Oreochromis niloticus: one gene and its partners. The protein of the gene in region 3 purifies or fractionates together with the protein of the main gene of each other region. This does not show direct contact. Links are inferred from orthologs where the notes say so. Each region holds a gene or a part of one and is shown on either strand. Other genes may lie near its edges. The genes, in order: pabpc4, phf1, ezh2 and trip12.

The links.
Region 1: the proteins of ezh2 (region 3) and pabpc4 purify together in Homo sapiens (affinity purification with mass spectrometry, with the first as the bait; 3 studies listed by BioGRID). This does not show direct contact. The link is inferred for Oreochromis niloticus from reciprocal best matches to the Homo sapiens genes EZH2 and PABPC4.
Region 2: the proteins of ezh2 (region 3) and phf1 purify together in Homo sapiens (affinity purification with mass spectrometry; 15 studies listed by BioGRID and IntAct, with this or other methods). This does not show direct contact. The link is inferred for Oreochromis niloticus from reciprocal best matches to the Homo sapiens genes EZH2 and PHF1.
Region 4: the proteins of ezh2 (region 3) and trip12 purify together in Homo sapiens (affinity purification with mass spectrometry; 3 studies listed by BioGRID, with this or other methods). This does not show direct contact. The link is inferred for Oreochromis niloticus from reciprocal best matches to the Homo sapiens genes EZH2 and TRIP12.

Annotation. Positions count from the first base shown.
Region 1 is NC_031983.2:27,564,519-27,572,575, reverse strand, and holds the start of pabpc4 (polyadenylate-binding protein 4), read right to left. Parts: upstream 3,141-8,057; 5' UTR 2,719-3,140; coding exon 2,526-2,718; intron 285-2,525; coding exon 91-284; intron 1-90. Other genes in the region: zpcx (zona pellucida protein C), read right to left, coding at 3,659-3,680, 3,776-4,640, 4,725-4,801, 4,873-4,958, 5,027-5,132, 5,217-5,388, 5,461-5,534, 5,603-5,715 and 1 more.
Region 2 is NC_031976.2:34,397,059-34,404,762, reverse strand, and holds the start of phf1 (PHD finger protein 1), read right to left. Parts: upstream 3,131-7,704; 5' UTR 1,229-3,130; intron 623-1,228; 5' UTR 622-622; coding exon 544-621; intron 394-543; coding exon 312-393; intron 1-311. Other genes in the region: rgl2 (ral guanine nucleotide dissociation stimulator-like 2), read left to right, coding at 6,707-6,865. UniProt on the Homo sapiens protein: Polycomb group (PcG) that specifically binds histone H3 trimethylated at 'Lys-36' (H3K36me3) and recruits the PRC2 complex. Involved in DNA damage response and is recruited at double-strand breaks (DSBs).
Region 3 is NC_031974.2:2,281,035-2,289,163, forward strand, and holds the start of ezh2 (histone-lysine N-methyltransferase EZH2), read right to left. Parts: upstream 3,036-8,129; 5' UTR 2,617-3,035; intron 2,436-2,616; exon of another isoform or gene 2,258-2,435; intron 1-2,257. UniProt on the Homo sapiens protein: Polycomb group (PcG) protein. Catalytic subunit of the PRC2/EED-EZH2 complex, which methylates 'Lys-9' (H3K9me) and 'Lys-27' (H3K27me) of histone H3, leading to transcriptional repression of the affected target gene.
Region 4 is NC_031979.2:12,415,810-12,423,522, reverse strand, and holds the start of trip12 (E3 ubiquitin-protein ligase TRIP12), read right to left. Parts: upstream 3,098-7,713; 5' UTR 2,949-3,097; exon of another isoform or gene 2,928-2,948; intron 2,211-2,927; coding exon of another isoform or gene 2,190-2,210; exon of another isoform or gene 2,083-2,189; intron 2,040-2,082; exon of another isoform or gene 1,906-2,039; intron 1,772-1,905; exon of another isoform or gene 1,640-1,771; intron 1-1,639. Other genes in the region: fbxo36a (F-box only protein 36a), read left to right, coding at 3,479-3,574, 3,909-4,017, 4,177-4,349, 4,486-4,632. UniProt on the Homo sapiens protein: E3 ubiquitin-protein ligase involved in ubiquitin fusion degradation (UFD) pathway and regulation of DNA repair.

The DNA of each region.
Region 1 (8,057 bases), on a different chromosome or scaffold from region 3:
CCATGATTTTTTTTTTTTAAATATATGTGTTAAATTTCAAACCAGCAAATAAATAAAAACATAAATAAATCAGTGTTATGTCAACTGTACCTTGCAGGAAAGGATGTTGCCAAAGGCAGAGAAGGTGTCATACAGGGCTTTGTTGTCAATGGACTTGTCGAGGTTCTTGATAAAAACATTGCCCACACCCGACTTCCTGAGGGAGGGATCTCTTTGGGACCACATGATTCTGATCGGCTTTCCTTTCACCACATCAAAATTCATGGTGTCCAGAGCTCTTTCAGCTGCCGGAGGAAGAGCAGAGAGGTCACAGGAAAGGTCCCTGGTGGTTATTTACACATCAGTCATGCTTCGGTCTGTTATCTGCTGATACCATGCAACAATAATAGCGCAGCCATTTTTAACACGTGCACTATAATAATAAAAGAGAAAAACAGTTTAAATGCTTTAAAACAGGCCGTTAACATGTCCAAAGGGGTGAAGGTACTGCAGCAGACAATGAGGCTGATGAGCTTTCTGCAAGCAGCTGGGAAAAGTGTGGGGGGCAGCTGCAGTGGGCTAGCTTGGAGCACATGTCTCCCTGTTCTGATTAACCACATGCTGCTGAGCCACATGCCACTTAGCAATGCAGCAGGCCTTCATTTAAACACTATCAGAATATCAGCTCATGTGGTTGAGATGAGCAGTATTATGTTTGCATTGACCTTTATTCTGTGATCTGTAGGCCCAGGCAAATGCACACTTTCCCCCCCTCACACATCATGTGGGCACATGCCAAACATCCTTTTGTTCACACACACACACACACGCACACACACGCACGCACACACACACGGCTTTCCAGCTGAAAGTGTCTGGTAAACAAAGCGGAGCTGCCTTGCGTCTGCTGGCATCAGCAGTTTGGTTTGCAATTGTACTTCACAACCTGTGCGCTCAGGGAAGGTGTGCGGTCACTGTCAAAAAACGGGGACTTCGGGAAGGTTCAGAGTTGGAAACTTTATTCAAAAAAGGCCAAAGTGACCTCTGTTGTGCCCTCATATATCAAATGTGTCGTTTAGAAGAGAAAATAGAGCCATCAATGGTCTTGAATTACCCATTATTGTTAACCACTTTTTATTTAAGCATTACGGAGCAGGCACGTTTTGGGCTGCACAGGGGGAAGCTATATTTAGAGAGGGGCCCTGAGAGGTATGTGCTGGCATGGAGTATGAGTAGAGCATTCTCTACCACTGATGGGGAAGAGACAAGTTTAAAAAGAATGCTCAGAAGAGCGACACCCGGGTTTGTGTTTGTTTACAGATACAACTGTGACATTAAGAAATCCAGCAGGGAGCACAGCGAAGCATGAAGACCGCTCTGTTTCATATGAAACACTCTTTACTAACAACTGCTTTGTTATAGGTTTGCATTAGTAGCTGTATTGTTCAGGCACAAAGCTACTGCCCCACAGACACGTGCTCAGGACTCCATTTAAATGTCCAACAGCCAACACCCCCTCCCCCCTGGTGTCTACACTCTTGTAACAAATGGTGTCTTCTAACTTTTGGCTCTTCTCACGTTTGTAACGGAATGATATCCTGGAAGCGAGCCACTTGTAACCTCTCCTTTACTTTGGCTTTTGGTAACTGACTCGAGCGCAGATAAGCTGTGACAGGTGTTTTTTGTTGATAGGACAAACAGTGTCAGCGGGCCCCAAAGAGAACCACAACACCTGCTACCTTTGCTCAGTGCTTTGATACTCCTGCATTGTAACTGGAAACAGTTTTATCACATAAGGTACTTAACAACATTGCTGATACGGTTACATATACGTTCACTTTTGTGTATCATGACAGATTAACAGCTTTAAGTGGTGAGGATATAACACATAACCCAACAGTGTGAGTGAACTAATCCAGCTATTAAAGCTGGGATTAAATTCAAATAGAAACAGGATCAGATTTTTCCATTTGAATCTGCAGTGAATTTACACACAACCAGCAGCACAAACAAGCAACAAGCAGTGCAGCGGGCTCAGCTGTGCTTGTCTCTTTCATGCCTTCAGTGAACATGCCAGCAGAGGGCAATGGGAGTTAGTTTCACTCAACTCATTGGCCCTTTAAATAGGCACAGAAATGGGTCATTTTGGTTTTTAAAAAGGTGTAGGAAAAGACTTCATATACCCAAATCTAGGCCTGTGATTTATGGGGATGGTTTGTTGATTTTGGCCAACTTTTAAGGACAGTTTAAACTCTGCATGTTCTGGGGGCTTGAATTACATTAGAGACACACACAGGCTGCTATATTACCAACCATACTCCAGAACTGGGACGTGCTTATGTAGGTCAAATAACTGATCCAATCTAAAGAACTGCTATGAACAATTCAGACTGCAAAATTAACATTAACCAAATTTATTTGCGTTCATTTCGGGCTCTGTAAACGGTTTCAACAGCAGACTGGAAACGCATTACTACTATGTCAACATTTTCACGCCTTGTGGAGGCAACGTGCTCACACAGCACAGCTATCCCATCCCTGCTTACCGTCAGCCGGCTGTGAGAAGTTCACATAAGCGTATCCCAGGGACCGCCGGGTGATCATGTCTCGGCAGACCCGAATGGAGAGCACCGGTCCGGCTGGGCTGAATTTCTCGTACAGCATAGCCTCCGTGATGTCGGGGTGCAGGTCGCCAACGTAGAGAGAAGCCATCGGATAACTCCCCGTCGCTGTGTTCATATCGCTGATTTCAGAGGATAAACGCAAGGCTTCGTTTTAAAAACGCTAGAAAAATGTCGGTATGGTCTGTAATCCGGATCCAAACTGCGCTTTGGTTTAAAGACGCTGCACAGACAGCTGATCGGGCGTTTTGAAAATGCCAAACCTGGAAAAAGCAGCGCGATAAAGACCGGTGTCTTCTGAAGTGTTTCCTTTAAAAAAGACGACAACTTCGAGTTAAGCCGGAGGCCTGATGTTTATGTTTTTTTAAAATAATATTTTGCTATTTTTTTAAAAGGTTTCTATTTCTTTAAGTAGATCTGCACTTTTTAAGATTTTGTGGATTTTATATTTTTTATATTATTTTTATTTTAAGTTTTTCAGGAACAGTGAGTTGGGCACTCACGGTTGTTTTGTGGCCGGGGAAAGAGACTGCGGGGGGGAAGCATGGGCACTTTATAGAGAGTGACGGTGCGGAGGAAATAGTGGCCAGGGTCAAACTTGGGGTAGAAAAAACACTGAGCATGCGGCGTAAAAGGGAGAGCGCACATGGTACTGTCCCAACTACAGCGCCCAGCTCCCTACAGCGACATCTGGGTGGGAATACAAGCCTTTCACTGTAGCCAGGATGGAGCGTTTTATAAACAGGCTTTAAAAATAAATAAATAAATGTGATGCGCTAATGAGCACCGGTGGCGAAATGTTGTGAATGAGTATGTCTGCCTTATTTAGTCGGCAGTGTCATTTAAAAAAAAAAAAGAGAAAAAGAAAAAAGGATGCGACTTGTATTTCAGGCTTTCGCTGCTATGACGCCAGGTCTCTCTTGGAAATGAGATTTTTACCTGGATAAATAAAGGACTAATAAAAATATAACTTTTATTTAAAAAAGCAAAAGTAATGAGATCAGATTAGTGTACATCAGTTTTATTTATCTCAAGTACAAGTTTAAAGTAAGCCGTGGTTATTCTGCATTCTTCATCCTCCTGAGGAAAAAAAAAAAAAAAAAAGAAGACAATTAAATCAGCCATCTTCACATGCATTAAACAGTCTGCCGGCTAACTGCAAACAAGTCATTTACCACAACAAATTCAAGAAAGTTGATTGCAGCCCCTTTAGTTTCAACTGTTTTCTTTCCACTGGACTTTTCTTCTGCACCACTGCCTCTTCCTCATAACTCAGCGTCTGCAACCCATCAGCAGCTTTGGAAAAGGTGAGTTTGGAGCGTGTTATTGGTGGGATTTCATGTGTTCCTTCAGGCATCACAGCACCATCGGTCAGCATCTGGGGCAGGTCATCACGGTTTGGGTGCTTAATCTCATTCTGCAGCCATTTTTCACTTTGGGATTCCTCTACGGCAGCTGTCTTGTCCAATTCTGCTGGATTTGGCCCTTTAATCAGCATAAGGTACTTTACACTAATCTCAGCTGGCAGAGAAAAGTCAACCGGTTCCTCTTTGCTGTCAAAGTTCCCAGATCTTCCAGACCGGCTTTTTCTTTTCAAGTCCTCTGGAATTGCTGGTTGTGGAGGAATCTTCCACCTGTTAACCATAATTGGCAAATTCATAGTTGATGGAGAAAGACTACTGAAACTTTGACCTTTGATCTCATTGGTTGGATTCAGATGAGGTTCATGATCTGTGGTTGAAGAACGCAGTGTGGGAGTGTCATTCGAGTCAGACTGAGGAGGCACCTGTTCAGGTAGCCAAAGCGTCAGCCTGGTGGCAGGGTCCTGACTCACAACCACTACACCCTCTGGGCCAGCATTGAATTTGCTTCTTGGAATAGAAGCAGCAGAAACTATCACATCAGCAGGATCTGGAAGAGCAGACTGCATGGAGTTTGGGATGTTAGCAGTTTCTTGTTCGGAGACTGAAGGCAGAGGAGTTCTCTCACCATCTTCATCGACAATGACAAAGGGACCAGTGCTGACCATAGCTTTGGCATCTGAAACGACATGCATGCAGCAAGTCAGTTCTAAAGTTTATTTCTGTCTTCCATCACCTTCAGACAGAAAACCAAAACACTCACCACCAGGACGGTTTTTGCCTTTACACCTTGAGCTACAGCACTCACATGCCTCCAAATCACCACTTAGTTCCTCCCATCTGAAAGGAAAGTTTCATTTATAGGACATTTGAAAAAGAAAGAAACAAATACATTATGTGAATATTGATACCTTGATTCAATCACATTGTAGTTGCAGGATTTAGAGCCAGGGGTGACACCTTGGCCTGAGATCAGCACGCTACAGTGGATATACAACTTGTAGAGAAGAGTACACAAGTCAGTTCAGAGCTGCACATCAGTGAAATCAGTTTCGAGAGACTTACCTCAGAAATGAGATAAGACGTGTTCAGAACAAAATTAACCGCATCTGCTGTGTTGGAGGCTACAAACGTCACTATAGTAGTGGAGGAACCCAGTGGGGTTACGCACCTGCAGAAAGCAGTGATATCACAGGCGATTAGAAGGTTAGACATAACAAAAACAGTTGAGGTAAACCCCCAACTGAAAACTTACCCTTTGTTAAATATGACTCTTTGCCTTGGTTTGGCCCGAGGCTCAGGGAACACAGAGACAAAGCAGGACTTGATGAAAACCTGTTGATTTGTTCCGGTTTTAGCCAAAACCTGAAGATTGACAGCCTGGCCTCTTTTGTAGACATTTGACTGTGCTGCGCTCGTCCAGGACGCTGCAGGAAAGAACTGCGTTTACAAATTAAGCTGCAGCTAAAACATGACGTTGGATGAGTTTTATTACTTACGACTCATGGCTTTGATGCTAATGTCATCATTTTCAGGAAGCGTTGTGTCGCTAAACTTTGGCATATTTTTCAACCTGTAAATACATGGACCTACTGTAAGTAGGGTTGGTGACTAGCTGCAGACATTGAAGTAACAGCACACCTTTTTGCAACACAGAACACGTGGACTGCAGAGGGAGTTTTCCACCAGGTGGGAGAAATTCTTCTTAGATTCAAGAACAGGGTGTTGGTGAACACCTCCAAGTCGTCCTCCACCTGTAAGATGGTGCAGTTTTGGTAAAGGCTTCATAAAAAGATGCAGAACTGCAACAGAACTTTATTCTCACCATAGGTGCAGTTCCACATTCATCAAAACCATAAGTGAAGACAAATTCATTTGCAAGCTCTCCATTGCTGAAGCAGCCATTGCCCAGCTGTATTTCCTCTCCAGTCAGTTTGAGACCACCGACACTCTTATCAACCAGCACGGTTAGTGTCGATGCATCACAATACACCTGTACTCTGGGAACATTGAGGAAGGGAGAGAGTCCAGCTAGCCTGTGAAAGTCAGGGCTCCAGGATCGCCAGGAGCTGAAGATTGTGTCTTGCGGAGTAAAATCAAAGTTTCTTCCAAATGAAAAAGGCACTCGATTTTCATAAACTCCCACAAAATCCTGGGTGAATCTGCCATTGTGATACAGAACAGACTGAACAGCAATAAAACAACTAAGAAGCACACAAAGAGATATCTGCATGGTCCCCATCATGAGCCCCAAACTGGACCAACAATTCAGATCATTCTCCTGTGACAAGTGCGTTATTAATAAGGTGCAGCGATAGTGGAGACAGGTGCTGGCAATCAAGCCAATGAAGCTGACTCAAAATGATTCTGTATTCAATGTTAACACCACGGCAGCTGGATGGGACGCATCTAAGATGCTGTTAGTGAAAAATGCAAAATAAAATGAAGCAAAATGTGTATTTTGTTCACATTTGTGGTTGTTCAGAACTTGGTTTTAGAAATCACTCCACTGAAGGCCCAACCAGCTGCTGTTTAAACCTGTTCTTGAGAGCTATTCCATAAAGGCATAAAGACAGGGTGGCTTTATATGGAGACGAGCTAAAAACAGCTTGTTTCAGACAGAGGGACACTGAAGAGCTGCACCAAGATAAGATAACCTTTATTAGTCCCACACATGGGAAATTTGTTAGGGCCCCAGTTTACCAAGGCCCAGTTTAAGATAAATCAGGATTATATGGAACTGTAAATTATGAAAAACTGTTTTAGTAGACTCCAAACACAAAAAATATGGTGCTGGATATAAGAATTATGCCTGTTTGTAAGGTGTTTGTGGGCTTGGTGACAACATGAAAACTTGAAGGTTAAGTTTTCTGGCAGGCCATTCCTCGGCTACAATCTGAACAAACCAAAAGCTGTGAAAACTTGGATAGTTTGGGTTAATCTAATTTCTACAAGTAGACAAAATAACACCAAAAAACTTGCATTTATGTTATAGTATTTTCTTAGGCAACAATCTTCAAAATTATATATTTCTATTAAGTAGATGAAAGACATGTAATTTAACTCTGGCTCTTCTTCTATGTTGAGCAAACCTTGAGATTTAAGTTTTAAGATTACATGTGTTAGATGTGTGTAGTCACACATGGCAGAAAACAAAATCACACTATAATTCTGGAATACTTTCAGGGAATGAAAGGAGCTGAAGGATAGCACAAAAGAGGAAATTGGTTATAAATGATTAAAGAAAGACATAAACAGGAGCACACCACCTTCTGCCTCATCTAGGTGGAGCCATTGTCAAAAAGCTGACTAAAGGAGACTTGGGTGCATGATGCTTGCACCTAAAGGCCAGGCAAGTCATGCATGGCAGGCGCGTAACCCAGATTAACTGAGAACTCATGAGATGGCTGTCAGATAAGGACGTTGTTTGTTACAAGGTAAAAATAATTGCTTGCTATTTTGAATTTAGGGCACTGAATGTGGTTTTTAATTTGAGATTTCTAAATCTCAAATTTAGAAATGTGACTAATTCCCCACTGATGCTGGTTGTGAACAGACGAGTGTCTGCTTTTTGTTTTAACAGCCGATTAATCGATTAAGACCCACTGAATACAGAGCATTTGCCCAACACTTTGTTCTTTTATTTGACACTGGTATTGTTGTGATTGTGCAAAGTAAGGAAATTTTGACATTTGTAACATAGGTCTCTCCCCAGCAATATAAGGCTCGAGCAGGCAAATGCAGTACTGTGCAAAAATCTTGAGCCTCCCTCATTTCTTTACATTTAGCTTCCAAAGAGACATTTTTTTCCACTGGGTTTTCTGGAGGTCTTTCAAAGGTTTTCTTTGAACATTGGCTGCGTTTTCACTCATTTTCAGTCCCGTCCTTGTACCTGACAATTTTTGGAAGAGTGTTTGGTTGTTTTTGTTTTGTGTTTTACATTTGTTAAGACACTTAACACTGACATATGAGTCACTTAATCATTAAAAAGGGATTTAACTCATAGGAACCAGTTTTTTGTCTACACATAACAGACACGTTAGAACAAAAAAACAAAAACAAATTTAAATTGTAACTTTCGGCTCTTTGTCTTAAA
Region 2 (7,704 bases), on a different chromosome or scaffold from region 3:
TGACTGAAATTTCTCTTCTGCATTTTTCTTTGACAACAGTTGAGAGATCTTGAGAGAAAAGGCACAAGATTTGAACTTTTAAGCTCACAAGAGGAACAAATCAGACGAGCATTCATTCAACTCCTTCAGCAAAATCTGAGAGTGGAAGCAAACACCTTTACTGCGAGTTCATCCGAGCATCTCTGTGTTCAAAAGCTCAAGCTAGGTGCATTTTTAACCCAACAAGTACAAAGTTCTTTCAACAGGAAGCTACTTACTCTTCTTGCCGAAGGAAGCGGGAGGGGGGGAGGGAAAAAAAGAGTTTTTCTTACACGAGTGAATGTCCTTTCTCAGTACCCAGAACTCAGAGTTGTCCTCAAATCTCACCAGACAACACTGCTTGACTCCATCTACCTGAGAAGGAGATAGCAGGTGAGCGGAATGATTGACAAAACTAAATGGAAGTCTTTTCAAATCCAGCCAAACACACTCACGCACATGTTGCATACACACACTCAAAGGTCTCTCTGTCACACACGCATACACACTCATACATGCACTTACTCTTTTCACATTGCCGAGGTACAGTAGTCCATCACTCCATCGAGCCAACACATCATCTCCTTCACTTACTCCCCCCATCCTGAGGAAAGAGACAGAGAGGGGAGAGAGAGCAGGGCTCATGTGAAATGGAAATCCGATTTATTCGCTGAATACTTTGCTGCCATTGCTGACAGAGGGGTTTATGGCCCCGGCATTTCGACTGCTTCTGAGACAGGCGGGCTTCAGTGCAAAGGGGTTAAAATCTCCCCCCCTCCATCCTCCTCCTTTTAGACTAGAGCATAGCGACAGCCTGTATCCACCACAGTGAAAGATGAGAGTGAGTACACAACCAGAGAGCAAGACAAATGATTACTGCACACATCAAACACACATACACACACAGAAAAAAAAAACACTGCATGATGACTACTGCAATACAGTTTGACTGAATGAGCAAAGATCACAGTGCAGCTACTTGAAACATCTTCCCTGCACTTTGCTGTTGTCTTCCCCTCTCCCAACATCTTAAAAACTTGAATAGATGCATCAAATGACTCTGCAGGCATTATCTCTGCACATTGAGCATTTGTTCCAGTGCATGCACTCAAGTCAAGACAGACGCAGGATGCATTACAGTGTATGTAGCCTTTTGTGAATCAGAGGGAAATCAGGCAAATTTCACTGAAAGCTGGCCGGTGAAGGGTACCTGTCAAGTCGAACTCCTTTCCGTCGGGGTCACAGTGATTCCTGGACAGGCTGGACATGAAATGCCCTCATCTGCTGTGGGTCTCCGCTGCCCAATTACTGCCAGCTCGGATGCGCAGCCTGCGTGTTTGCAAAAAGTGGATGATGTGCATGTATGTCCCTGTCTGTGCCAAGCGCCTGTGTGTGTCAGTCAAGCCGTCAGCGAGGAGGAGGGAGAGGAGGAGGAGGAGGGGGGGGACTGACTGTCCGTCCGTCTCTCAGTCTAGTTTGTCCGTCCTCCGCGGTGCCGTTTCGTCATGTTCCCGTCGCTTTTGCTCTCTCTCCCCCCTCTCCGTCACCACCTACTGATGCTATTAAGGCGGGTTTGTCAGAGCAGCACCGGAATCAAGCCGCCAGAGACGCCATCATCCCTGCCTCTCGCTCTCGACCGACTTGTTGTGACGCAGACATAAAACACCGAGATAGAGTGGGAGGGAGATACTGATAGAGGGGGATCCAGAGGTGGCGGGGGGGTCCTCCGCGAGAGCACCTTCCTGTGTGAGAGATTGACCCTAAATCCCTGTGACAAGGTGGGATTGTGATTTCTGAGAAAAGAAAGGAGGGCGGCGGTGCGCTAAAAGCCAGCGGAAGCAGCGCGCCCGGTGACAGGGGCCAATTAAGTAGCCAATTAGTGAGTTTAGCCGCCTCATTAATTGGTTTCGAACAAGAAGGGACCGGACAAGTTTAGGAAACCGATGGGAAAAGTTTTCAGCAGTAGAAGCAGAGCAGGAAGATTAAACTGTTGCTTATCAGTGCTGATTTTTAGGAATGAACTGAATTTGGTGTGATCGTTCTTTCTGTTTTACTCAAGAGTTTGGGGATAACATTAAACATTATTTAGAAAATACTACAATGTAAGATTTAAAGCATGTATGAGCTCACTGACTTGCAACACAACGTCACAGAGAATTACTTCCCATATAAACCAGATCTTACAATTTTATCTAAAAAATAAACTCCAAAGGGGACAAATATCCAGAGGGTCATCTCCTCTGGGCTGCGATGTCTGATGGCTCACAAAAGATAAAAAACATGCACAAATGCACAGTGTCTCTAATTGCACCAGTTCCAGACATACATCCAATGCAGGCTGCTTCACTGAGTTCAGTCTTGAATGAACCATGCACGTTGTTGAGTATATATGGTTACTGAAAACCTATTAACTGCTTCAGAAAAGGCAAACATCGGGGGAAAGCTGCTTCCAGAGAGTCACAGACACGTTATTAAATTGTAAACAATGCTAAATCACTCCGGGATTTAGATTACTCTTACAGTTAAATTGCTTTAGTCAAACGGCGCGTTTTGCTGTTTTTGGCTGCAGGCTCATCCATCAAATCCAAGGTTGTGTTTGTTTGTTTTTGCTTTCTTTTCTTGTTTATGTCTTGCACATTACTCACACCAGTCGAGCGTGTGGTAACACCGCCGTGCGGTTCAAAATGGCCCCTGGCAGATTAAAAAAAAAAAAGAAAAGAAAAGAAAGAAAGAGAGAAAGCGTACAGTGTCATTTTCCAAATGTGGCCGCTGGGTGGCGAACAAATACCAGAACAGGAACTACTGCAATCAGGCCTGTCAGTCTCATGGACTCGCAGGATCAGAGTGAAGTTCGAGAGAAGCCCCAGAGGTGTGATGATGATGATGATGATGATGATATGAGTAGGATAATAAGAAAGGAAGACCATTTAAAATCCTCATGGCTCGTGGACTCTGTAATGTCGAGTCTTCACAGGTTATAAGCCAAAAAAAAGAAGCTAACACCCTGACATCATGGGTTTTTATTGCATGTGATGGGTGTGTTGTTTCTCAAGTTCCTTTCCGTGTCACAATTTAAAATGCATTTGCCATTACAGTCACACAGTAGCTGTTGTAATCTGAATGGTAGCATGGCCTACTTTTTACAGATGAAACCATTCATCCTTGAAGGAGCAGAGAAGGCAAATACTAAGATTTGACGCTACAGGAATGCACTAAAAATAGCATTAGATAATTGCTTAAAATATGAAGCTAAACCTAAAAGTGTCTAGATTAAATGTCATGGGCCTGAGGGTGTTTCTGTGGGGTTTGCGTGAATACCGATCAGCAGATGAGTTCAGTTGAGAGAACAGGTGTGTTTCTGGGATTTCTCAGTGGGGTGGCACAGGAGTGACCAACAAATAGGGTGGGATTTTTATTAAAAAATTATATCAAATCAGTTGAGCTCAGGTTTGTAAGGTAAAGACTGTTTCATGCATGTGTGTGTGTTGGCTTTTCAAAAATGAAGAATGTATTGTTTAAAAGGTGCCACAAGTAGCCCAGATTATGCCCAAGAGTGTCTGCTGTCTTGGTTTGCATTGTGAATATGGATGTGTATTTGAAGCAACCAACTATTAGAGCAATAATATCCTCAAGGTTATATTAGGCTTAAAGGGGCAATCTGAATTTTTCTACACATTAAGCTACACTGGCCAATCATGAGGGTCAACCTGTGAAAATTCTTGTGTACTGCAGAGAGCCTGCATTAAAATCTAGAGAAGTATGTAATACTCTAAAGCTAAATTATAGACGTCTGTGAAGGTTCTCAGTCATCCAGGTCATCGTAGTCTAAGGAGCTTGGAAAGAAAAGCGTCTGGACTTCTTTAAGTTGCTTGAATTAAATTATAGATCTGCAGAAGTGTTTGATCTTGACCCAAACCTAGAGGGTTCAAGTTTAAATGTCTAAGCCTAAGGTCGATTGTTGAAGTCTGGTAATACAGAAGACAGGTCAGAGGTCAGGCTTACTTTTAGGTTTATGAGTTTAATAGGGACTGCTTTATAATTGGTATTGTAATATATAGGTTTATTAAAGTATTAAAGTCAATTCAATGGGCCTGTTTTTCTGCAGTCAGCGATCGTTTAGATGAGGTGAAGATTTTATGGATGGAAAGACTTTCAAAATGACAGAAAATGCGCGTGTGTTTGCGTGTGGTTGTGCGTACACGTGCTCGTGCGCGGTCACGCAGTCTGCCTGCTGGTCCTTGAAGTAACATTTCCCCGGAGGCGACGCGTACGCGGTTGCGGTGTATCGCTATCCACACGGTGGAACTGCCCGGAGAGACGGATATGTTGCCAAAGCAGTGAATGCACAACGTACAGGAACTGCGACGTTAGAGTGAGAGAGAGGCGGGGAGAGAGGGAGGTAGGGAGGGAGGGAGGGAGTTTGCAGACAGACCAAAGTGCGCTATCAGCTGCTGAAAGCTGGACAGGCGAACAGTGTGGAGAGACTGATAGAGGGGCGAGAGAGGGTGGGGGGCGAGGCGGAGGATGGAGACTCCCTCGTCGTTGTCGGCGGTGACGGTGGTACAGATGGGTGCGACTCTCCTCAGCTGAGCCGGCCACCGATCCAGCAGCCCCGGCGGTCATCCAATGCAGTCTGGATCGAGCTGACCGCGGTTGGATAGCGCACATCCTGCGAATGAGACTTCGCTAACAGTAAGTTGAATTGTAGCTTCCTTCATTTATCTTCCTCTATTTGCTTAATTTTTATAGCCTAGCTCTTAATTTTTACGGCCTTCGTGTCGCTGAGTGATTCGCAGCAGGAAGCAAATGTCATCATCTGTCACTCTACTGTGTTTAAATACACGCGTCAAACTTTTGCAGCCCTGACAGTTTCGGGCTCCATTCTCGTCTTCCAGCCGACATCGAGACTGAAGCTGTCATTAGGACTGTACATTGCTGTAGCACCACCCCACGGCTACATTTATTAAACAGAAAATAGGCATTATGGGGTGTGACTTACTGTAGCCTAGTTACTGCGTTATATGTGTGTACACCTCAGTCATATGTGGCTGTTTGCTTTGGTCAGGCCAGTGAATAGCAGCCTTTCAGACTTCTGCACAACCGTTGGTCAGCTAGATCATATGCTGCACTGGTAATGCTTTGTTTCCCCTGCAGGCCTGCTCCCCTTTCCTCTCTTATTCACGGTACAAACTTGCTTTCTTGAGCAAGAATATAATGAACCACCACAAACCTGCAGTAAAGACAGAGCATTATGCAAGAGAAAGTTTAGTGTTACACAAATTGTAAAGAACCAAAACAAAATGAGTGGAAACCAGGGAGTGCCATTAATGCATTTTTAGACCACACACTTTTTAAGTGCTCGTTCGGATCCAGAGCTGTGTGAACAATCAGATGGGTCATGTGCCTTGCTCAAAGGTGTTCTGAACATGCTAGCAGGGCAGACTCTGCTGTTCTGTTGCTGGTCACATCACAGCCATTCTGTATCATTTGCTCCTGGTAAAAGTCAGAAGAAACTGCAACACACGTAACATTTATTAATACACCAAACTGCACAACGGAGCACTTTAACGTGTTCTTTTTAATAAAAATTCTTCAGGTTAACATAACTGTTTATGTGTCTGTGGTTGACATTTCCATCACCCTCATATCACTCCTACACCCACCAACTCTCTCGCTCAACACCTCTTTTCCTGTAACAGTGTTTACTTGATGTTTATCTTCAGGGCAATCTAAATACCAAAGAGGGGAAAGGGAAATGGAAGGAAGGGTTGCTATGCAAATCCAGACCTGCTGTAGAGCACAGTCAGTGTGTTAAGCAAATCAACTCCAGGATACCATTAACCATAGAGTGTTGCTTTTGTTTAAAATGCAGTTTAAAGGTTATCTTAAAGTTTTTAAAGCTATAACTGATAATTTGTTCAATGTGGAGCTCTAACATGTGCAAAGTATTCACAGGTGATTCAAGAAGACACATAACGAGGCACACACAAGCGTGGCTATACGTCATAAAGTTACAGTTAGTTTATTTATTGAAAATGACTGATGATTACTTCTTCAAACCTTAAGTACAAAATCCAGCTGCCCAGTGGTCACACATTTAGGGACATCACTCTGTACACTCTTACAGCCTTTCCTCATTTTATAAAACAAACATATTATGAAGAACCTAACTGGAAAATAGAAACATTTAGATTTCTCACATTTGTTATCTAACTGTCTAAGATTAGACATTAAAAAGCATCAAAATAAAGAAAATACAAGTTAGTTTTTGAGAAGAAAAATCGAATTCAAGATAAAAAAAATAAGCTTTAAAGCTCTGAGAAAAAAGTACTGTGCAGTGCAGGAATAAACAGTCAAGTTTTAAGCTTTGATCTAAAACCTAGAAAGTTGGAGAGAGTCTCTGTGTTTCTGACAGTTTGTTTCAGATTTGCAGTGCTTAAAAGGAAAACAGTGCTTTTCTATAATGAGTTTGGACATGTTAAATGAGTCAGTTGTGGAAATTTAAGTTAGTTTCTGATGTGATCCACTTTCATTGCCTCAGCTTTAGCACCACTGTCTGATAATAATGTAATTTTATACTTTTATGTTATAAGGAAATGAACATGTTAGTACTTAATTCATTCCAACAGCTTCTTAAGAAATATCTAAAACATTTCTTATGTGTCTCTTGTCTGCAGCAGCTGGCACCATGCTCCCCCGTAACATACGTACAGGTGGTTATAACCTGCCAGGGGTGGAATCAGACGATGTGCCCCTCATTGGCTATCGACCTTTATCACCTGACAGAGGAACCATAAGTGGCCACTCAGGGAGGAGAGCCGCTGGCGCTGAAGTGCAAAGTTCGCAGGTGAATGGTTTTTACTTTGCCTCAAAATGGATGGATGGGTGTTTTATATTTGTATATTGGTGTTCCCAACAATCACAGAAAAATATGTAAGTTTACTCAGTGTAATGTTACCTTTCTTGGCTACCTGTCTCTCCCGCCAACGACATCATATTGTTACTAATCTTAAAATGTTACAACAACTTTCAACATGTTCAAAATGTGTTCTGACCATCGATAAAGGCGCTAGCTACGACTAAATTTAGCAAATAGTAGTAACTGGCTAAATGGATAGCTGATTCATCTGATGGATAATACAGCAGTTAATGCTGTAAGCTAATGCTATTTCCTGCTATTTTATTAGAATGACATTATACTTATTAATTGTTTGTGGCTTAAAGAAACGTGTGAGATTAAAACATTAACATTTTCCCTGAACAAGTCAGGTTTTGGCCCACTGCGCAATTGCAGCACATGCAATGGCAGCAGCCAATTCCTTCATTTGCATTACTTACACTGCATCGCCCAATCTAATCTCTTAACAAGACTGGCCCCTCCCCTACCTTCACCATGCACTCACATTTTGTGTGGAAGAAGTGTCAAAGGTGCTACTGAAAAGCTGAGAGAATAAAAAGAAACTAATAATAAATGCAGCAAAATCTGTCAAATAAACCAACATGTTAGCTGTTGTTGCTGTTGGACCGTGAACAGTAGTACCAGCAACATCTAGTAACAGCTAGTAACCAGACCTCACAGTCACACGAGGCTACCGCTTCTAGCGCCAGCTGTGGAGAAGTCAGGAAGAGACGAGGAAGAGAAATTATTTTGGTTAGAAACTAGATGGAGGACAATAATTAGGAAGG
Region 3 (8,129 bases):
CAATGCTATAAAACTATTTTCTAATCAGCCAGCAAATATCTGAGAATTGAGGAGAGCAGCTGCTGGACTTTCTGGAGAGGAATGTTTTCCTATTCCTGTCAAAGGATTCTAGCTGCTCAACAGGTCTGGATGGTCTTGGTTGTGTTGTTTGGCTCATTATCCTCCAAATGTTGAGCATGAATTATGGTGAGAAAGGTCTGGACTGCAGGCAGGCCACTTCAGCACCGGGCTCAGCGTTCATATTTCTAGTTTCATAGGCACGAGTGGACCCCCACATCATCATGGAAGCAGACTTTGAACTGATGACAAACTGAATGCTTCCTCTCCTTTTTGTTCCAGAGAATGTGAACTCTGTGTTTTACAAAAATAATTTCAAATTTCATATTACCTGACCTCAGAACAGAAAAAGTAACTGCCCCCACTTTTAAGTCATGAACAAACTGGGAATAATCACATTTTTTGGAAAGTCCCAATCACTTTCACTAGCCACACCCAAACCTGAATACTCCCAGACCTGTTGAGTCAAGAAATCACTTAAACAGAACCTGTTTGTCAAAGTAAAGTAGGCTAAAGATCTCCAAAAGCAACACATCACGCTACAGTCTAGAGACACAGCTGCAAAACAAAGTCACTGACATCTACCAGTCTGGAAAGGAATACAAATTTCTAATTCTTTGGGACTCACGAAAACAGTAAGAGCCATTATCCACAAATGGAGAAAACTTGGAACAGCAGTGAACTTTCCCAGGAGTGCATGGCCTACCACAATTACTCCAAATTACTTGGCAGCTCATCCAGGTTGTCACAGGAAAAAAAACAAAAACAAAACAGAACATCATCTAAAGAACTGCAGGCCTCACTTGTCTCTGGTGAGCTCAGAATTCATGAAAATATTCTGTGGACCGATGAGACAAAAGCAGAACTTTGATTCCTGTTACATCTGTCATCAAACTAACGGCACATCATCAAAAGAACATCTTATCAATATTCAAACAAGGTGGCAGTATTAATGATGGTCTGGGGCTGCTTTAGGACCTGGACAACTTGCCATAATTAATGGTATCATAAATTCTGCTCTCTATCAGAAAATCCTGGAGGAGAAGGGCACTTAGTTTATGCAGCAGAACAATGATCCAACACACCAGCAAGTCCACCTCTGGGCGTTCTCTGCTGTGGCCCATTGCTTTGGAGCAATCTTCCTCTTCACATTAGACAGGCTACATCAGTGCCGGTTTTTAAGTCCAGATTGAAGACCTATTTTTATTCTCTGGCTTTTAACTCTGTGGGTGACTGACATTTTTATTAATTTTATTGTCTTGCCAAGTTTCTATATTATTATTATTTATTGTTGTATTGTTCAGCACTTTGGTCTACCGGGTGTGTTTTTAAAGTGCTATACAAATTAACGATGATGATGATGAATGGTTCAAAAAACCCAAAATGCATGTTTTGGAGAGGCCTAGTCAAAGTCCTGACTTAAATAAATCACTGCAAACATTTGACCTTCAAGAGTTGCAGATCAAGTTTTTAGGTTTAGTGGGCAATTACTTTTTTTCCACAAGGGACCAGCTTGGTTTGTATAGATTTATTTCTCTTAATAAATTAAATCATTATCATTATTATTATTCATTTACAAAATGCATTTTCTATTTACTCAGGTTATCTTTTGTCTAACAATAAAAATGTATTGACAATCTGAAATAAGTAACTATGACAAATGGAAAAAAATAAGAAATTGTGAAGGGGGGAGTTAATTTATCACAGTACTGTATATCATTCTTTTATGTACAGTCTGTGGATGAACAGCAGCCACTGTCACCTACAAATAAACAGCACAATAACCCCACCATCCTACCAAGCTAACAAGCTTGTCTCCCCTCACAAACCCAGCAGCACAGGTCGGGCTCTACCCAAAACCTGCCACATGACTCTCAAGATGACTTCTGACTAACAGGTGAAACTCGAGCTTCCTGTCATGTGTCAGCAGCACAAACTTCTATTCTTCTGATCTAGGCGATGTTATGAGTTTTATAGTGAGGGAAGTGGTTGAATATCGCCCCCGCAAGGCTTCTAGGCAAACAAGAGGGAAGCTTTTTTACTTTTATCAATGTGACAATCTCCTAACTTAAGGTGACACTCACTTTTAACACCACCTTCAGCCCCAGTTTCACAATAAAACCCTCAAAAGCTTGAACAAAAAAAGAAAGAAAATTAAATGAGAGGTACTAAAAATTATACATCAAAAAACTGTACCAGCCTTTTTCTGTGAGCTAGCTTCGAGCTAACGATAGCTTGCGGATGTCGTGCCAAGTTTGGCTCCCCTCAAAATGTGCTTCCCCTTAGCTCAGAAACAGGCTCACAAAGGTCCCAAAACACGAGTGGACGGTGGATCCATCGGAATCATTACCCTCCTCCGAGTGATTTAAAAAAAAAAAAAGACGACGGCTTCTTTATAAGCTAGTCAATATTTACGGGGATACAAGAATTGGCACGGTACCCCGGCGAGCTAGCTAACAGTTGGCGAGTTAACAAAGATTGAGGCGCCCAAGAGCACAAAGAGCAGCCCACAACAAAAGCCCCGTGAACACAGCCACGGACACTGACAGCTTCTCTCACCTCCACCCGAGCCTCTGGCCTCATCCAACGGAGCGATCCGGATCGATGCGACAAACACGGGCAAAGTCGTCCTTTGTGCTGCAGATTAGCTCGCTCCGTATTACGGCTAGCTGTAACGTTAGCTCGGTGGCTAGCTAGCAGTTTAACTCAGGAGGAGGGAGCGACCGAGTTCGCGCGACACCCGGCTTCACGCACCCAGAGCCGGCAAATAAAATAACTCAAACCGGCTCCTTCGCTCCAAGGCTGGTTAGGACACAGAAGCTGTGCGTCTATGAGGGACAGTCGCACCGTTTGGTGTCAGCCTGCTTGTAAAAAGTTATTTGGATTTTAATGTTTCCGCCTAAGCAACAGCGACTCTGTTCAAACTGCTCCTCCGCCTCACCGCCCACTACGGCTGCGGCGGATTCAAGAGGCGCCAAACGTCTAGGCCAATCACAGAACCCGATGTTAGTGTTTCCTCAGTGAGTCCTACGCGATAGGTCGAATGATATAAACGTGTAGCCAATGAAATTTGGAGCTGAGCTGGGGGCCCTGTAGCGGGGACATGTGGACAGCTTCTCTTTGTTCTCTCCTGTCAACGGAATAAAAACCAAAATATGCAAATACACAATTTGACAGTTAAGTTAATAATATTTATGCATCACATTTGAAATCAAAGCGGTGTCTCTGACGTATAACAGCTGTCACAGCCGTGGGGCTAAACTAAAACACTTATATAAAAAAGGTTTTCGACGGATTTAAGGGCAGAGGAGAGGCGACAGACAGCGCGTCGTCTCGTGCAGAACAGCTCAGGCTTCAGCAGGTGTGTGAGCGTCTCAGTGTGTCCAGAACAAGGAAACATGAAAACATGAAGGCTGAACGGGTTTATTGAATGAATGAGAGACTACAGTGCCACAACCAGCAAGGGCAAGGGTCTCTAAGTTTATTAAGCCACGCCCCTCCAAGCAGCGATTGGATGACGCTTCGAAAATGTCCGCATGATGCATTCACTGCCAGCGGAAACAGAAAACACAGCAGACAGATTAAAAGCATCATTACAAAACAATTATGTATCATTCCAAATCTTTAAGAGTAGTACAAAAAATGTATATAAAATTTATAAGAATGTTTTAATGCATTGATTTTTAAATACGTTATACATTACTTTTAATAATACTAGGGAGGGAGATGAGGAAAGCAGACTGGAATACTAATAGGTTAGGTGACCTGGTAAACAGAGTGGATGAAGAGTGCAAAGGTCGTCCAGATGACATACCTGATGGAAATGTGTAGGAGAGAGGGTGGTGGACTTTTTTTTTAACTAGATGGTTTAACACAATCCTGGAGAGAATGAGAGGATACCTGAGGTATGGAGAAAAAATGTACTTGTATTGTTTTTAAGAAGAAGGTTGATGTGCAGAGCTGTAGCAACCACAGAGGGATAATGTTGTTGAGCCATACCATGAAGAAATGGAACGTTGATGATACTAGAATAAGAAGACAGGTGGTGATCAATGAGCAGCAGCATGACTTCATGCTGAGAAAGAGCACTACAGATGTGATGTTTGCTTTGAGAGTGATGGAGAAGTATAGAGAAGGAAGGGAGGAAGAGAGGAAATGTAATGGTGCGTGCTGAAGTCAGGAGTGGCAGAGAAGTATATGAATGTGGTGCAGAACATGTATGAGGGCAACAAAACAATGGTGATCTGTGTGTTATAGTGACATGGGCAACTTTAAATACCTGGGGTCAACCATCCAAAGCAACAGACAATGCACAAGAGAGGTGAAGAAGAGATGCAGGCAGAGTGGAGTGGGTGGAGAAGAATGTCAGGGGTGATTTGTGACAGAAGAAGAGCATCAAGAGTGAAAGGGAAGGTTTATAAGATGACAGCGAGACCTGTGATGATGTGGGGGATGATGGCAGTGACAAAAAGAAAGGAGGCCGAGCTGAAGATGTTATTAATTTCATTTAGACTGAACAGGATTAGAAATAAGACCATGAGAGGGACAATAATGCATCAGCTATTTGTATTTGTTTTGCACTGTTTCTGAAAAAAAGTTGGGAAGAAAATCCCTAAAAAGTGGGAAATGGAGCATGCTGCTTTATAACTGGTAAGGTGCTCCAGTGTTCTCTTTACTGACAGGACAGTTTGTTCTAATGTTCATCTGTGTGGGATCTCACAACAGCTCCCTCTGGTGGTCACGGTGGTGCAGCTCCATCTGCCAGGCTTTTGTTTAAATTCCGTTAACTTATCTATAAAAATAAGACTCTAGATTCTCAAAGGTCCAAATATTTTTTTGTTTTGTTTTCAGTGGAGAAAGACTTTTGTGATTTTCCTGAAAACCGATTATGCTGCTACTGATAGTGTTGTTACTGTTAGTGAGCAGGTAGTGAAAGAATCTGAGTGTATAAACATCCTATAAAAAGATATTATATTTATTTATTGGTCAGCACAGAGGTTCCCAAAGTGGGGGGCGCAGAGCCATTGCAGGGGAGTGCGGTATAAAAAAAAAATGAAAAGAAAAAAGAACTCTTGGACACTACTAGCATAATGGTCAGGTTTTTTTTTGACGGGGCTTCCACACAAACACAAAGCAGGAGATGAAGCATCGCCAAACATGTTTCCAAACAAACTTCCTTGCAAGCCAAAGACTAGAAAATATGAAGAAGCATGTCTTCCCTCTGGTTTCACCTGCATAAATGCCAAGGAAGGTCTCCTCGACAGAATTAGTTTCCCCTGCGTCAAGAGCAGCGCTGGGCTCTCCAAATCACCGACAAACAGTATCCCACATTCTTGATTTTTAGCTCAAAAACACTTCTTGTAATGACTAACTACTGCTGACATTTTGGAGATGTTAGCTCTTTATACAGAGAACATATTTATGTTATTAAACATATTTAATAATAACATATTATTTATTTGTGTGAGAACATATTTACATATAAAGGTATGAAGCCATAGCTGGACTGGCCATCGGGCATACCGGGCATTTGCCCGGTGGGCCGCTGGCGATTTCTTGTTTTTATGGGCCGATGGATTTTTTTTTTAAATTTTTTTTTTAGGAAGGGTATATATAATGAAAGGTGTTGGATTGGCCAATTGGTCATGATCGACTCTGGGCTGGACCAATTACAGCCGAGGAGGCCGGATGCACCCTCCCCCTTGTTTAGCAATCTTATAGACGAACTAAAGAAAATGGAGAACAAAAAAAGGAAAGGAGGTGTTTATGAAAATATCACTAAATCTGTCATTTATTAATTTTAATATTAATTAATGATCATGTCTCACCTCTAGGGTTCTTGGTCTTAATTTAAGGTTTTTCCTATAGCGATTGACAGATCACGTGACTTTCGCGCAATGCATGCCGGGAACTCGAGGCAAAACGATCCAAGTACCGCATCAAATGCAAGCATTTGCAGCACCGCAAAACGTTCATTCTCCGGTTCCAATACATTCTTGGTTTTTCTTTGCCGCACACAAAAGGAATGTACAAAACTAAGGAGAATAATGCCGGACCGTACAAAGACAGACTCGATGAAAAGGCAAAGAAAAGATACGAGGAAAAAATCAAAGGAGTGAAAGGGTCAGACCCTTACAAGCACACAGAGTGGACAAAAGACGTCAGTGTGCTGCCCAACTTTCACCACGCTCAGATTTATAATTATACGGTTCTTGGAGTGAGTGCATACACTCATGAAGTTTTTAGTAACTTCAGGTCACTGCAACAAGCCCAGGTACAGTTTACCGACGGATGGGTACAGGACCTTGAAATGCACTGTGTAGAACACAAGACCATCGTAAAAACAAAGGTAAGTTTACCAGTCTCACAAATCGTCGTCATAAATACACATTCGTTAACCGTTTATTAATATAACCTTTGAGCTCAACGGTAATTAATTAGTAGTGGAAATAATTTCTGGTACGCATTACAGAAATGTAGCAGTGACAATAATATTGTATGTTGTAATCGCACTGGACAATTAGTGATACAAAACAACTGTTTTATCCTGTGAATAAAAGTATATGTTTTTGTCAATATACCGTGGTAATAACAGAAGCGAAACGCAATATTCTGTCAGGACAATTCACTATTTATGCACAATAAATAAAGGAGCAGCGCGACAATTTCTGTTCAGCGCCAGACTTGCTTGTAACCTATATCACCAATTATGTTAAGAAAAATGACATATTAACTACTACAAAACATGTCTGTGAAGGTTCTCAGTCATCCAGGTCATCGTAGTCAAAGGAGTTTGCAAAGAAAAGCGTCTGGACTTCTTTAAGTTGCTTGAAGACGTTTCACCTCTCATCCGAGAAGCTTCTTCAGTTCTAAGGTCAAATGGCCGAGAGTCCCAGATTTAAACCCAGTGGGAGTATCCCCCCAAGGAGGGACAAAGGACCCCCTGGTGATCCTCTAATCACATGCGCCAAGGTGTGAAAGTGGGTGTGGGACCTAATCAGCCAGGGTTTCGGGTGAGCTCATTGTGAAACCTGGCCCCACCTTGTCATGTGAATTCCTGAGGTCAGATGGCCCAGGATGTGAGTGGGCGTTAAGGCGTCTGGGGAGGGAACTCAAAACTGGATTATAGATGGCAGACAGTTGGTGTCGTAAACCACCGCCTCTGTTCAAAGATGGTCGCTCACAGTGGACATAGATGGCCTCTTTCACTCCTCTTTCAAACCATCTGTCCTCTCCAGAGATGGGCAGTAACGCGTTACTTGTAACGCGTTACTGTAATCTGATTACTTTTTTCAAGTAACGAGTAATGTAAGGGATTACTATTGCAAAAACGGTAATTAGATTACCGTTACTTTCACGTAGGAACGCTGCGTTACTGCGTTACTAAAACCGTGATTTTTTGCGAGAACGTCTCATGACAGTGACGTAAGCGAGTGCGACGTTCGTGACAACAGCTGTCTGCAGATCATAATATATGGAGTGCGGGACAGAGTGTAGCATGCAGCGTTTAAAGCGTGGAAGTACTGACCTTATTTTGAGTTTGATTCCATAAAAAGTGACAAAAACATTAGTGTCCGTTGTGCGTGGGAAGAAAACTTCTTTTTACAGCGAAAAAACCCCTAAACTTCCAAGCAAGCACCGAGTGTACTACGACGTAATGTGAAATTCACAGAGAAACTCGCGGATTCTTCCACTGACCGCCGCGGCACACCTGCACCAGGGTAAACAACCTCCGCCTACCCCAGTCCTGCTTTACAGGTGAAAATAGAGCAACAGGACCGCTAGTCTTTGATTTTATTTATTTTCTGCTGTGTTTTACTTTCATCTATTTGAAAGAGTGAGTGTAAACATAAAAAAATATTTTATTTTATGTGCTGGAATGTGCAGAAAATAGGTTTAAATGTTAAACAAATTTCTTCCAGTCAGAGAATGTTGCATATAATTTAATTTTTGCTTGATGCATAAAGTTAAAAGATTAAAACTAATAAAACAAGTTTTAAAAAGAGACTTTTCCATTTGATTACATTTTGTATGATGAATTATGCAGAAAAAGTAGAATTGGGCTGAAAGAT
Region 4 (7,713 bases), on a different chromosome or scaffold from region 3:
ACTACAGGTTCACCCCTTTGACCCCTTTGAGATGATCAGTGGCAAAACTTTCTCAAGATTGTACATGAAGATGCAACATCTGGGTGGGGGCTGGCAGCAACACCACATGCCAGTAACTACATCCCCTCATAGCTGAAAATCAAAAACAGGGAACTAAAAACTTTTAAAGACTTAATGCTAACTATATTACTATGACCCAATATGATCTGTTAAAAATAAATAAATCATAGCACAGAGCACAGTTCGTGTTCCTAATCTCTCAATAACAGTCACAACAAAATGTATACTTCTCTGAATAACATTCAGTAAAATACAGCAATGCCATTAACATTAAACCTTACTGCAAATATCAAATTTTACTGAAATGTTTGAGTTTTTCCCCCCACACAGTGCACCATGAATATAAAGCTATCACCAAACACCCTACTTACGCACAGTATAATACATTTTTACACATTGGTACCTTTAAATCTTTGGCAGAACGCACTACTGGAACTTTTTCACATAATTAAAATCATCAAAAGGATCATTTTACAATTTTCTTACAACAGCAAAAGATTCCTTTGTGTATTATTAACCAAGGTCACAGCCTAATTAAAATAAACACACAATGCGGTAGACTACAAATTAATTCTTTTTTGGTTTCAGTTTAAGTCCTAAACTAACTGCCAACAGCAATTATGCTTCAAAATGACTACAACATTGTATAAAATTTACATATCTGATCCAGTGTGCTTAGTGTTAGGGGTACAGTACAATCTTAACGGTTTAATTGATCAGAATAGTACAGAAGTTTTCTTTTTAACATTAGAAGTGAATGTATATATCTAACTCACAGGAGTCAATAAAGTGACAGTACTAATAAGACAATTGATTAACTTGATCTAAACACATACAGGAAGAGGATTTCATTATTTGCTAGACAAAAACCATTGAATCCCTAAATAAATATTTTTTAATTTATTTTCAAGAGTATCTGACTATTTAAGTCACAGTTTAAACTATGATATCACGGATACTGATGATAAAAATACGCCACACTTGCCAAGCTCACTGGGCCATGTTAGGCCTGCACTGACAGTGCATCCTAGTCTTTGTTATTCGTCCATTCTGACAACTGGTGTTCCCCACTCGAGTATAATGTATTAGTTAAGCTCATCAAATGATTTACAGCCTCACATAGACCATCGACCCAGTTTATCTTACCACGTAACTAAAACAAGAACTGAAGTGTCCGATTTTTTATACCCATGATTTACAGAGGCCTATATTTCTGACGTAGTTGTCTACCACCACCGACTAACGCTAGCATGTTTAGCCACTTAATATCCTAGCAAGCCCCATACATTTTAACAATACCTCCATCGTATCGATTTATTTATACATAAAAGCTTCACACATCCAAAAGCGAAGCTTGTGGCGTTTACATCGTGAATCTAAAAAAGAGAAGACGCTAGAAGACTTGCTAACTGCAGACCAGCAGTTAGTTAAAGTTACGCTGGCTAACGTAGCAAAGGTTACACTGAAATGCGTAGTTGGCGTGCCGGTGTGTCAACCTATTCAGCTAGTACCCTAGCCAAACAAATTGTCACATTTGAGAAGCTAGCTTGTTTGTGTTACGAAACGACATAATGCTTACTAAATGGCAAAGACGCCCCTCCAACTGGCGAATAACGATCGGGTTCATCCGAGACTAGCTTCACGTCGAAAAAAGGCAACATCGACAAAACCCGTCTTTCGACAGCGGTTTAATGTAATAAAGCTAGCAGGCTACAAGTAAACTAAAGCAAGCTAAGTTGGCAGTCGGATTGCCAGGACACACAGCTCTGTGTGTGTACGCGGTCGGGGCTGACAATCAAGTTTAGAGAAAAGAGAAATACGTTTGTGTTTCGTAAGCAAGCTCACCGTCTACGATTGATGGGGGTAAATAAATCCAAAATACACAACTGTCACCTAGACAGGTAACGACGTCGATACAGTTCTACACTCTCCTTGCAACTGTCAGCGCGAATTGTTATGTACAGATAGACTAACTAATGTTGGTAAGCTATAAGGATGGCTAACAATATTTTCTGAGCTGACTTAAGGCCAGTGCCTCCCTCTCACTACTACAGCGCTGGCTAGCCTGTTAGCTACTGTTAGCCAGGAAGACAAGTTGACCACTAACAAACAGCGTGCCAGCACAGCGCATGGTTCTTGTTAAGACTTGGGTAAATGGGACACATAACGCCAAACATCTCATTCAACTACCGTTAAAGTATCTTGCTCAGAATTCAAAGCGTCACGGCTAGGTTATCATTAGCAAGCTAATACTAGCCTAGCCACAGCGAGGGTTTCTTCAATGACCGTTCTCTCGCAAACAGTAAGCTGACAAAAAAAAAAAAATAAACAGCCGGCTATTGGCTTTAAAAGACCTCGCTGTTTTCAATTAAGCTGGGCGCCGAGGTGACACCACATTACTAACCCCGTCGAGACCGAATTAGCAGCTACAGGACTGTCACGCAGCTTACGATGTTTAATCAAACAAGAGCGTTATAGCTGTTACCAGCTAACCTTGGCATGCCAGCTAATTAACATTAGCGAGCCCTGTTGTCGCTGGCTAACATTTTGCCAGCTCGACAGGATGGTTAAAAGGATTTGTGTTGAAAACAGCGTTTTTAGCAACACCGCACCAATTCAGTGTTTATGATACAGTTTTGATCAAAATTTCCCCAACATTAACAAGTTGTCTAGCTAGCAGTTAGCAAGTAAACGCTAACTAGCAAAAAGAAATGGCCCCTGATACCTTTTAGACACACAAAAAAACAGGAAAGCAGGAACGGGATTCGAGTTATTTTCGCAACACCCATTCCTCCGATGTATTTCGAGGTTGAATACTGTCAAAATCCCAAAAGACTACAGGTTTAAATGTCAGTGAAAATGTCTACCTTTTGGTATAATGTTGTTACCTATTTGTTCCAGTGTTGTAGTTGTAACAGACAGTGCACCAGCTCCTCTTTTCTCTCTACCACTGCTAGTTTCACATCAGCTGAGGGGCCTACAACCGCAATATACCTCCGCGTGATTCATCCGCTCCGGGACTAGTTTGCTCCTTATTTTCTGTGTCTGCTTGCTTTAAGTCAACAAAGCGAGCGCGAGCACTGGATCGGCTGCTCTTTCGAAACAAAGCTACGGGTTTCTAATGAAGACAACTGAACTATTTTTGTAGACATCCAGAGACAGTCGCTGAATCACTGAAGTCATTGGTAACATTAGCTTGTCACAAATATTAAGTATCAATCCGCTGGGTCGTGACCCTCCTCCTCCCCCCTTCAACAGACATATATGAAACAAGCATATCTGTAAAATTATATGTCCCGCATAACTTTTTATTATTACCTAACATCAATGATAAAGCAATCGGTCCGTTTCATGAGTCGTTGTGCAAAGACAGTTTTAGTTGCTTTTCAGTTGTCATGGCAACAGATTTGCGTCCAAAATGGCGTCTTTGCTTGGGGAGAGACTGTTTGAAATTAGTGGTCAGGGTCCGCCACCTCCAAAGGATTTTTTTCAACTTGTCATTACCAAAAACGAGGTTACGTATTAGGACGTCTTTCTTTATATAACAGACTTTCGAGGAGTAACTGTATAAAGCGTGCTAATAAAAAAATCACTCTACTTGAGGCTAGCTTAATTTTCTTAGCTTTAAATATGGCTTTGCTACTATTTTCTATTTTGCATGCTTAACCAATAGCAAGCTATTTGTTAAATAGCAAGCTATTTGTTAAGCAAGATTTGTTAGTAAGATGTTTTAATAAAATCATTCGCCCTGTTCCAGTAGCATATCGGCATCTTGTAGCCACTACTTCAAGAGTGTCTCCTGGATTAAAGTCTTGAAGTCCCATCTTTGTTTTTCCCTCTAAATTTAGGTAATACTAACCTCATGGAGGATTTCTTTGCGACTTGAATGCAGAGGTCTTCCCCCAAAGCAGCAGAGGACATCTCATCAGGACTTCCAAAATGATACAACTCTACAGTGTAAGTTTTCCTCATCGAAATCATCACTCCCCTTCCATGAAGTTCTTGATACTAGTCTTTTCTAACCTATTTCTGAATCTTGTTTGGGTTTATAATTTGACATCGAAACTTTTCAAGGATCTAACTGCAGGGCTGTGTTTGTCGACTTATCATCTGCAGATGAAGTCGGTGCTGTTTTTGGGCAAAGGATCCTGGATTACACAACAGCACTCTGTCAAGGAAAGTTTGATTACCTGGAGCGTTTACCTGATGACATCATGCTCCGAATCATGTACTGCCTTGAGCTGAAAGATGTGGCACTGCTGGCACAGACGTCACGCAGATTCAAAACGGTGAGGACAATGGTAAAGTACTGGATTTGTTCGATGATACAGAAATAATGCTTTAGTGTCTATTGTGTTTTCCTTGTGTTCAAATTCATTTGTGTTCACGTGTATGTTGTGCTGTGCTCTAACCGGATTGTACCAGCTCTTCAGCTCTGAGAAGTTTTGGGAGCAGACTGTGAGGACCTGCACTGGGTTTAACAGGGACGTTGAGGACATAGCCAATGCCATGGGCTGGAAGAGCACCTTTCTAACCTTTTTCCACAACAGTGATGATAAAAAACAGCAGTAAAACATATATTTAAAAACAAACACTTTTATTATTGTTCCAAAACAAGTAAAATCACACTGGCTCATTAGCAAACTAAAAAAGACTTCAGTAATGAATGAGGGCTTTTGTGTGTGTGTGTGTGTGTGTGTCTGTGAAAAATGTGAATATTCTCCAAAGCAAATCAGTACTTTTGCATTACAAAGGAAAGTCTTGCTTACAAGTTTTGTTTTGTTTCAAAGAGTGTGCGTTGTGTAAGATTCCTTGTAAATGACATTAAATTGGCACTTTGTGTCTGGATGACAACCTGGGGAAATTAAAACGTAAACAGACTTACAGAAAAATACGTAAGCAACTGAAGTCCTGCTGACATCATGTCATACTTCCTGTTTACATTTGCTGGTGAACTGCTGGCTGCGCCCTCTGCTGAAAGCCCTCAACCAGCCTCCGCTGTCTTTGCATACACAAGGCAGCCTGGCTTTATGTGGGATCACTGAAGCAGCCAGCAGAGGGAGCAATGTCACAATGAAAACGTCAAAATGAGTCAGATGACAGGAGGAGGAGGAGGGGGGAAATCAAGTATGTAAAGGTAACGTGTGCAAAACAAGTGCTGTAGTTCTGGTTACCATATCAAGGCCTAAAAGACTCCAACTTACTTATTCTGGATTAAAAGCTTGTGCATATGCGTGTGTAAGGGCATCTGACACAGCGGTCCTACCTACCTCTCCTGAAACCTGTACCAGCAAGCTACAGTAACATATGACAAAGGTACGCATTGTTTTTCTCTGTTTACAGGTACTTTTAGAATCAGAGCTGGCATGTTATAGTGAATGTTAAAAGAATAACATAATACAGTCCTATTGTCATGTAAGAATGCCAAAAAAAAGAAACAAAACCTAAGTAAGCCTTGTGTTATAACAAAAAGAAGAACACGTGTTAAACTGCAGGTAGTTTTCCATAAATGACCGCGCCTCCCTGCAATATCAAATATTTCTGTGGCCAAATGATAGCTGTGTGCCGGAGTGATCTGACATGACAGCATACAGCCCTGAATGGTGGGTACCATGGCCTATTATTAGCCCCTGACACCGCCTTCTCAGCTGAGTCTGGTCTAGGAAAAATATTCATTACGTAACAATAAAGAATCTGTCTCCCAGACCCACTTCCCGAATACCACAGCAACAGCTAGGCCTCACTCTGAGGCACAGAGACATCAGCCACATCCATTTGATTACTGGCGTGGTGTAGGGCTGTGTGGGTTTTTTCATGCTTATCCATTTACTGCACACATTCACAACACCACCCCTCCTTCTCAGTTCCTCTTTGTGGGTCAGTGATGCAGCGGGAGTGACGCAGCAGTAGCAGCAGCCTCCAGAAGGCAACTTTGCACAGCAGGAACCGGGAACCTCTGCCAGAGCCATAGTCCACAGACGGCAGTGACGAAGGGAAAGTGGTAATGGCCTGATGCGGGCTAGAGGAAGAATGGGAGCCGGGTAGTTGCTCTCCTCCTTCTAAACAAACACCAGAGAGGCTTCCACAGCGAAGGGACAGGCCCGGCAAGACCTTCCACACAAACGTTTTGGTAGGCATCTCAAAGTACGAGTGCTTGTTGCGGCAGCAACATGAGTTGTCCAAGGGATGAATGTCTTTGTATGCTAAAGAGTGTGAATGCTTTGAGAATGAGAATGAGGCCTACTCAGCCTTCTGCTGCAGTCTTTTCCTCTCAGCCTTTTCCCCGAAGAGCGTCCCTGCAGGCCGCAGCTGAGCTCACTGAGCATCAGAGGCGAAGAGGCCTGTTAACTTTGTTTTTAAACACATCCTAGCTGTAATGTCAGGGTTATGTTTACAAAATACCAATATGAGCACAGAACTTCCAGTTAGGACAGTTATTTTCTTATCATTTGCAGGCCTCTTTAAGCTTTAGCTTGAGGCCTAACCTCGTAAATCCCAAAGCAATTGTGCCAAGCAATAAAAAAAAGTCAGCCTAGATACCCTTATTAGGTGAACAGCACACTATGTTCATACAGATGAGTTATTATTTAGGTTAAAACAATAAGAAGACCACAAAATGGGCTAAATCTCATAAATAAGAAATGATTCGTTTTTCCAGCATCAGAATCTGCTGTCAGGTTTTACGCAGGAGAAAACCTGAAATTAGATACAAACTACTAAAATATACTGAAACCAGGGTTTTAATTTGACTTCTAATATCTCTTTGTTGTGAATTCGAGAATCACACAGGCACTAACTAAAACAACAGGTGGCTGCTATGATTGGACAGAGCTGTCATACCAGGAAGGAAAATATAAATACATATATGTATATATGTGTTGAAAGTTCAAGGCAATCGTGATCAAGAATGATCTGTTTGGTGTACCGCCCACTTTGTGGCATGCAAATCTCGATAAGCTTTAAAAAAAAAAAAGCTTATAAACTTGTCTGACCAGTAAAAAATGATGCTGTTCTTCCTCTTTTCAACCTCTTGCAGTCTATAAATATTAATTAAATGCAGCTTATTGAAAAAGAGCTCTTAATGGTTTCTGCACACAATGGAATCACACGTGTCTATTGAAAAAGGTGGTAGCAGCCAATAACCTAAATGGTCTACATGGATTAGATTTAATGTTTTATAAAGCAATAAATAGCTAGCCATTCTAGTCTCCATCTCTTTATCATCAAGTTATTTCTTACTCTCAGTATGGGGACTTATTGATACACTACAGTGATGCAACAAATGCCTTCATGGCAGCGATCATTACTGCAGTTTTAGCATGTTATGGGCTGGATTAAACGCTCCTAGCTGTCTTAGTCCAGAGGAAGGTTTAAGTAGTGGTGAGAGTCTAAAAACAAATGTATTAAACTGCTTTCCCTCCTAGAAATGATGCCAAATGAAAGTGAAATCATTTTCCCTGCATTTTCATTACACTCTGGTGCTTTCCACGAGCAGCCTTTGCAAACCATTAACTTTATTTCATTTTCACTTTTTGTACACGTGTTTTTGTGACCACCTTATTCTGTTTAAATGTTACTTTGACATGTAGTAGTTTTACTGTACAGTGTAAGGCACAGACAGTCAAAGCAAAACAAGGTTACTGTGCAGACTTA